2 linked regions of the Macaca mulatta genome follow. The protein of the gene in region 1 interacts with the protein of each later gene in a biochemical or structural test. Links are inferred from orthologs where the notes say so. Each region holds a gene or a part of one and is shown on either strand. Other genes may lie near its edges.

Region 1 (3,984 bases):
CAACGTACACAAGCATGAACCCCTTGTGCTGTTTTGTGAGAGCTGTGATACTCTCACCTGCCGAGACTGCCAGCTCAATGCCCACAAGGACCACCAGTGAGTCCCAAGGCATAGTGGTTGGGTGGGTGCCACCCCTTCCCTAGTTTAGTGCTCAGGAACACATTTGTCTGCTCTCAGGTACCAGTTCTTAGAGGATGCAGTGAGGAACCAGCGCAAGCTCCTGGCCTCACTGGTGAAGCGCCTTGGGGACAAACATGCCACATTGCAGAAGAGCACCAAGGAGGTTCGCAGCTCGTAAGTGTGGGTTCTGGGGCTGTGGAGTGGCCCAGGGCAGCAAGACCCTACCTAGCCTGACCTGCTGTGTCCCCTAGGATTCGCCAGGTGTCTGATGTACAGAAGCGTGTGCAAGTGGATGTCAAGATGGCCATCCTGCAGATCATGAAGGAACTGAATAAGCGGGGCCGTGTGCTGGTCAACGATGCCCAGGTAATCCTTGTGCCAGTGAGAGGGTCCCTGAGCCCGCTCTGCTGATTGATAATGCTTTCCCGGGTAAGGAGTGATCCTAGTGTTCTCTGCCTTCTTTGCTTACCCCATACATCTTCCATTTGCAGAAGGTTACTGAGGGGCAGCAGGAGCGCCTGGAGCGGCAGCACTGGACCATGACCAAGATCCAGAAGCACCAGGAGCACATTCTGCGCTTTGCCTCTTGGGCTCTGGAGAGTGACAACAACACAGCCCTTCTGCTTTCTAAGAAGTTGGTGTGTACTGGTGGGCTTCCAGCTGGTGGGTTCCAGGCAGGTGGCTCCCAGTACCTCAAATCCCTATTTGTTGTTGGTGTGCTCATTCTTTCTTCCCTTTCACTCCCAACCAGATCTACTTCCAGCTGCACCGGGCCCTCAAGATGATTGTGGATCCCGTGGAGCCACATGGCGAGATGAAGTTTCAGTGGGACCTCAATGCCTGGACCAAGAGTGCCGAGGCCTTCGGTGGGTCCCAGCTCTACCTTGCTCTGCTTTGTTATTACCCCATGTGCTGTACCTGCTTATGTTTCTCTTTTTTTTGTGCAGGCAAGATTGTGGCAGAGCGTCCTGGCACTAACTCAACAGGCCCTGCACCCATGGCTCCTCCAAGAGCCCCAGGGCCCCTGAGCAAGCAGGGCTCTGGCAGCAGCCAGGTGAGCAGGAGAGAGGACCCAGAAAGGGGTGGGCAGGGAATGGGGTCCAACAGGGTTCCTGTCCCACTGAGGCAGAGGGCTCTGCTTTGTTCACAGCCCATGGAGGTTCAGGAAGGCTATGGCTTCGGGTCAGGTGAGTGGGTCTGCCTAGTGGGTGGGGAAGGGCCCCAGTGCTGTTTCTACCCCGACCTGCCAGTCTTCTTTCTCCATTTTCTAAGTAGATGATCCCTACTCAAGTGCAGAGCCTCACGTGTCAGGTGTGAAACGGTAAGTGTGGCACCTCCCCTGGGGGTGGAGGTGGATGGAGGGTAGGGGTGTGCTCATGCCAGGTTGCTGCATCTACAGGTCCCGCTCAGGTGAGGGCGAGGTGAGCGGCCTTATGCGCAAGGTGCCACGAGTGAGCCTGGAACGCCTGGACCTGGACCTCACAGCTGACAGCCAGCCACCCGTCTTCAAGGTCTTCCCAGGCAGTACCACTGAGGACTACAACCTTATTGTTATTGAACGTGGCGCCGCTGCTGCAGCTACTGGCCAGCCAGGGACTGCACCTGCAGGAACCCCTGGTGCGCCACCCCTGGCTGGTATGGCCATTGTCAAGGTAAGTCTGTCCCAAGGAACTATAGCTGTAGGATGAAGCCTGTAGTCCAGGTCTGGACCCTGTTGAACACCCCTCATCACCACCTTGCAGGAGGAGGAGACGGAGGCTGCCATTGGAGCCCCTCCTACTGCCACTGAGGGCCCTGAAACCAAACCTGTGCTTATGGCTCTTGCGGAGGGTCCTGGTGCTGAGGGTCCCCGCCTGGCCTCACCTAGTGGCAGCACCAGCTCAGGGCTGGAGGTGGTGGCTCCTGAGGGTACCTCAGCCCCAGGTGGTGGCCCGGGAACCCTGGATGACAGTGCCACCATTTGCCGTGTCTGCCAGAAGCCAGGTGATCTGGTCATGTGCAACCAGTGTGAGTTTTGTTTCCACCTGGACTGTCACCTGCCGGCCCTGCAGGATGTACCAGGGTGAGTGTGAGGCTGGTGTGGGTCTAGTCTGGGTGTTGGGCTGTCTGGACAGGATCATGTGCAGACCCTTATTCTCTTCACCCTAGGGAGGAGTGGAGCTGCTCACTCTGCCATGTGCTCCCTGACCTGAAGGAGGAGGATGGCAGCCTTAGCCTGGATGGTGCAGACAGCACTGGCGTGGTGGCCAAGCTCTCGCCAGCCAACCAGCGGGTGAGGGCTGGGGTTACTTAGGTGGGGTTGCCCAGAGAGGCTTTATAGGTGCTACCCAGAGCTGTGACATCCAGTACACTGTTTGTAGAAATGTGAGCGTGTTCTGCTGGCTCTCTTCTGTCATGAACCCTGCCGCCCCCTGCATCAATTGGCTACCGACTCCACCTTCTCCCTGGTGAGTCCTAGGACGGGAAAGTCGGGGGGGGTGGGCGGTGGTGGCTGCCGGGTCTCACCCTCAACCTATGTATGTATATGTGTGTCTTTGTGTGTGTATGTGTGATCTCTGCCTGTAGGACCAGCCCGGTGGCACCCTGGATCTGACCCTGATCCGCGCCCGCCTGCAGGAGAAGTTGTCACCTCCCTACAGCTCCCCACAGGAGTTTGCCCAGGATGTGGGCCGCATGTTCAAGCAATTCAACAAGTTAACTGAGGTGAGCCAGTGGAATGGAGGGGCTGTGGGCAGGGAGAGATGTGAAGGAAAGAGCTAGGACCCATTCATCCACTGCATTCCTGCTTGGTCCAGGACAAGGCAGACGTGCAGTCCATCATCGGCCTGCAGCGCTTCTTCGAGACGCGCATGAACGAGGCCTTCGGTGACACCAAGTTCTCTGCTGTGCTGGTGGAGCCCCCGCCGATGAGCCTGCCTGGTGCTGGCCTGAGTTCCCAGGAGCTGTCTGGTGGCCCTGGTGATGGCCCCTGAGGCTGGAGCCCCCATGGCCAGCCCAGCCTGGCTCTGTTCTCTGTCTTGTCACCCCATCCCCACTCCCCTGGTGGCCTGACTCCCACTCCCTGGTGGCCCCATCCCCCAGTTCCTCACGATATGGTTTTTACTTCTGTGGATTTAATAAAAACTTCACCAGTTCCTCAGGCCTTGGCTGGTTGGGGGGCTGTGGTCCTAGGGCCTGGTTTATTGACTGTATCTGCTATTCAGCCTTATCAAGCACTGGTGGTTGATAAGGGAGGGGGGTCTTGTCTCCAGCCTACCCAAGCCCATGTGTATGGATGCCTAGGGAGTGGGGGAGACTGCAGCCTACCCAAGCCCATGTGTATGGATGCCTAGGGAGTGGGGAAGACTGCCTCCTTGCCCTTTCTGGATATGGGGAGGGCACCCAGGGCAAAGGATGTACACGCTACAGGCTTGTTTGGTACCCTTTGCGATACTGGGTGGGTGTGACCTGCAGCCCTGTGTAGGCAGGGTTAGCCCCACTCTACTGAATACTTCGTAAACTTTGGTGCCGTAGCTGTTTCTCATCTTCAGATGGTACCACAGTGAACTGAGACCTTCCAAATATGGTTTTTTCCGTCTCCCTTTGCTGAGTCCACTTAATATTATCCTTCATCCCTGTGTTATGATTTAGTTACTCTACAGTTGAGCCCGTGTGAATCTCAAGGTCACCCCCTTGCCTCTGTTGGTTGGTCTGGACTGTCCTCGAATGTTGTCATTAAATCATCACTGGACCAAACAGTGTTGGGCACTAAAGCCTGGCAGATGGAGGACTGGCCTCTCAAGATCCTACCAGGGGCCGGGCGCGGTGGCTCAAGCCTGTAATCCCAGCACTTTGGGAGGCCGAGACGGGCGGATCACAAGGTCA
Region 2 (3,813 bases), on another chromosome or scaffold:
AATGAAATTTAATAAAAACACTGTCAAAAGTTGGGAGGACCAAAATTGATACTTTTTCTCTGATCTTTTTGCCATGTGTATATCTGAATTCTTTGTTTTTAAAGAAGAAACAGCATTGAAGCATTATTTGGGGGGAAAAACACACACACAAAATCCAGCAACTCAGCATTCATGAGCAACTCTATACTATACCAGTATGTGCCTGTGCAGTGGAAGGAAAACAATTTTGGTAAGGATTAAAACTTTAGCTTTAAACTTCCAACAGGTTGATATTCTAATGAATGATAAATCAAAAAAATTTTAAAATATTCTTGTATTGACAGTGCTTTTTTAAAAATCACCCTACCTTGATACCTGTAATTTTAAAGTTTCCCATTTTTCTTTAAAGAAAAAAATCTGAATTTGCAGCCAACAAAAATTAGATATCCTAAGGTTGTGTTACTTCTGACTTTTATTAAAATATCAACATTTATTAGAGATGTTTATGGGCTGACTTTGTCTTTTTCTTCAAGGGGCCAAGTTCACTAATTGCTGAGTTTTATACATGACAGCAACAGTCCTTTTGTAGGTGTGTGTTGCATCCATCTAGATACTTTAAAATGCTCATCTATTTCATTTTTAAAATTATATGTGGGGGATTATCGGTAGTTTTTTGTTAAACATATGACATCTGTAGTTTATTTCACTAATGTAAATTTTTTCTACCTTTTACTTGATATAGGAAATATATCCTGGACAATTCCAACCATCTCTCTGTCACAAATTCATAGCCTTGTCAGATAAGGAAGGAAAACTACTTCGCAACTATACCCAGAACATAGACACGCTGGAACAGGTTGCGGGAATCCAGAGGATAATTCAGTGTCATGGTTAGTAAACTTCAGAATGGTTTTCTGTAATTTATTTTAGTTTTATAGGAGGATTTTTCCTCTAAAGCAGACTGCCATTGAGAAGTGGAGATAAAGCATTATTTAATCATGTTATCTCGTTAATTATAGATAACCTCCGAAAAGTAGAAAAGTAGAAAACAAAAATAATAAAAACAGTTAATTACATAAAACCTCAAATATTAATTTGCTTTTGATTTCAAAAGATGCTGCAGTTGCATGCATTCAGTTATTTTAAATAATCTTTTCTGGCTGGGTGTGGTGACTCACGCCTGTAATCCTAGCACTTTGGGAAGCTGAAGCGGGCGGATCACATGAGGCCAGGAGTTCGAAGAACAGCCTGGCCAACATGGTGAAACCCTGGCTCTACTAAAAATACAAAAATTAGCCGGGCATGGTGGCGTACCTGTTATCCCAGCCACTTAGGAGGCTGAGGCATGAGAATCACTTGAACTTGGGAGTTGGAGGTTGCAGTGAGCCAAGATTGCACCATTGCGCTCCAGCCTGGGAGACAGAGAGTGAGACTCTGTCCAAAAAAAAAAAAAAAAACTGATTACAAGAGTAATGTTAGCTATTAATGAAGAAATGTGACATCTTTAGTTTATGAAACTAAAAGAACTGGATAGTTGAGATGTACAGAATTCAGAGATTCAGAAATGTTTAATGTAAAACAAGTATGAACACGCCATTAGGTATCTAAAGTGTTTCTAAGAACTGCTGAACTAAGGTAATAGAATTGGAACTGTTCAACTCTGCAGGATTTTAGCTCTGCAGGAGCGAGTTATTACAGTTTTGTTCAAAAGAGTAGCTTTAGAAGGCATCATTATTGTCTCAGCGATTGAGAATTGTGTTCATTCTATGTATAAATAAATATATAAATTATTCATCCCCTAGATTCTCCTGTAGTGTATCACAAAATCTGCAGTGTGTTCTGAGGTTTAAAATCAAAGTTAAAAATCTTTAAACCCTGTTAACATTTCTGATGTCAAACTTTATAACATTCGTGGTGTGTTCAAGAAACAGAAATACTTCATTAATAAAGCACATATATGTTGGTTGTTTTTAGGTTCCTTTGCAACAGCATCTTGCCTGATTTGTAAATACAAAGTTGACTGTGAAGCTGTACGAGGAGATATTTTTAATCAGGTAATTTGTTTCCCGTATTTTAGGAATTGTGCATGTCTCTGAAGTATTTCTTCTTTTGCCTCAAAATCCTTTTTTTACCCTTAAAGGTATACGTGATACAGAAATATTCAGGAAGAAAATAGTAATTGGGAATTTTGGTAAAATATACAAGAACCTTTCAATACCTTATATAGAAAACAGCCCTATAAAGTCTGTTAAAATTATGAAATTGGCTTCTTAGTATCTAAGCCGAACCTAAAACATCAGATCATAAGCAAGTTGTTGTTGTTGTAGTTTTTCTCCTTCCTCTTTTTGTGCCTGTCAGATTTGAACCTTAAATTAGTTGTGGTAATCTTTTAAAATTATTTCATACATGTTCATTGCCAAAAAATATAGGAAAATGTAGCAGAAAATAAAAATTATCCAGAAATATGTCCTGTGTGCTTAGCAATATATAGAGTTAATTATATTATTATGAAAGAGGAAGAATAGTATATTAAAATGGAATCATTGTTCGGGTGCAGTGGCTCATGCTTGTAATCCCAGCACTTTGGGAGGCTGAGGTGGGTGGATCATTTGAGGTCAGAAGTTCAAGACCAGCCTGGCCAACATGGCAAAACCCCGTCTCTCCTAAAAATACGAAAATTAGCCTGGCATGGTGGCATATGCCTTTAATCTCAGCTACTTGGGAGGCTGAGGCAGGAGAATCATTTGAACTCAGGAGGTGGAGGTTGTAGTGAGTTGAGATCATGCCACTGCACTCCAGCCTGGGCAACAGAATGAGACTCCATCTCAAATAAATACAATGGAGTCATTTTGTTTTACAAATGTGTATTTTTCTTTTAAAGGATCAATTCCCATTTTGTGTATATACACACATTGTGTTTTTCCTCTTATATGATGGACTCTTCAATGTCAAGTGTTTTTCTATATAGATATTATAACAAGAGCATAGTATTTCACTGTTTCATAGTATGTTAATAAACTACCCATCATTGACGTTTAGATTGTTACCCAGTTGCTGTTTATCTATAGCTTTTCTGTTTTTTTTTTTTTTTTTTTTTTTTTAAATAATTCTGAAATGTATTCTTAGAGGTATGGAAATGTTGACTATTTCTAACTTGAGCTTACTGTTTGCTTCTCTGTCTCAACCAAAATCTGAAAATTCGTAGGTAGTTCCTCGATGTCCTAGGTGCCCAGCTGATGAACCGCTTGCTATCATGAAACCAGAGATTGTGTTTTTTGGTGAAAATTTACCAGAACAGTTTCATAGAGCCATGAAGTATGACAAAGATGAAGTTGACCTCCTCATTGTTATTGGGTCTTCCCTCAAAGTAAGACCGGTAGCACTAATTCCAAGTAAGTTGGTGATGGCTTTTGGAGATCATTTCTATATATAATGTCATGGGTTGTGGATCTGTATAATAGACCCTAACTCTAGTAATCTTACTCTGCTTCTGTTTGAAAGAGTGGTGAAGAGCTAATTTTCGAAATTGTTTGTTTATTTATTGAGATGGAGTTTCCCTCTTATTGCCCAGGCTGGCGTGCGGTGGCGTGATCTCAGCTCACTGCAACCTCCGCCTCCTGGGTTCAAGCGATCCTCCTGCCTCAGCCTCCTGAGTAGCTGGGATTACAGTTGTCCACCAACATGCCTGGCTAACTTTTTATATTTTTAGTAGAGACCGGGTTTCGCCATGTTGGCCAGGCTGGTCTCGAACTCCTGAGCTCAGGTGATCCACCCGTCTTGGCGTCCCAAAGTGCTGGGATTACAGGCATGAGCCACCATGCCCGGCCAGAAATT

What was found.
Region 2: of the proteins of TRIM28 (region 1) and SIRT1, one has a biochemical effect on the other in vitro, tested with the Homo sapiens proteins (2 studies listed by BioGRID). The link is inferred for Macaca mulatta from reciprocal best matches to the Homo sapiens genes TRIM28 and SIRT1.

The regions. Positions count from the first base shown.
Region 1 is NC_133424.1:70,686,287-70,690,270, forward strand, and holds the end of TRIM28 (transcription intermediary factor 1-beta), read left to right. Parts: coding exon 1-96; intron 97-177; coding exon 178-294; intron 295-371; coding exon 372-486; intron 487-611; coding exon 612-758; intron 759-871; coding exon 872-986; intron 987-1,067; coding exon 1,068-1,174; coding exon of another isoform or gene 1,175-1,202; intron 1,203-1,270; coding exon 1,271-1,307; intron 1,308-1,392; coding exon 1,393-1,441; intron 1,442-1,519; coding exon 1,520-1,772; intron 1,773-1,862; coding exon 1,863-2,182; intron 2,183-2,268; coding exon 2,269-2,392; intron 2,393-2,480; coding exon 2,481-2,567; intron 2,568-2,685; coding exon 2,686-2,823; intron 2,824-2,915; coding exon 2,916-3,092; 3' UTR 3,093-3,254; downstream 3,255-3,984. UniProt on the Homo sapiens protein: Nuclear corepressor for KRAB domain-containing zinc finger proteins (KRAB-ZFPs).
Region 2 is NC_133414.1:81,856,755-81,860,567, reverse strand, and holds part of SIRT1 (NAD-dependent protein deacetylase sirtuin-1), read left to right. Parts: intron 1-104; exon of another isoform or gene 105-196; coding exon of another isoform or gene 197-229; intron 230-721; coding exon 722-869; intron 870-1,953; coding exon 1,954-2,033; intron 2,034-3,184; coding exon 3,185-3,371; intron 3,372-3,813. UniProt on the Homo sapiens protein: NAD-dependent protein deacetylase that links transcriptional regulation directly to intracellular energetics and participates in the coordination of several separated cellular functions such as cell cycle, response to DNA damage, metabolism, apoptosis and autophagy.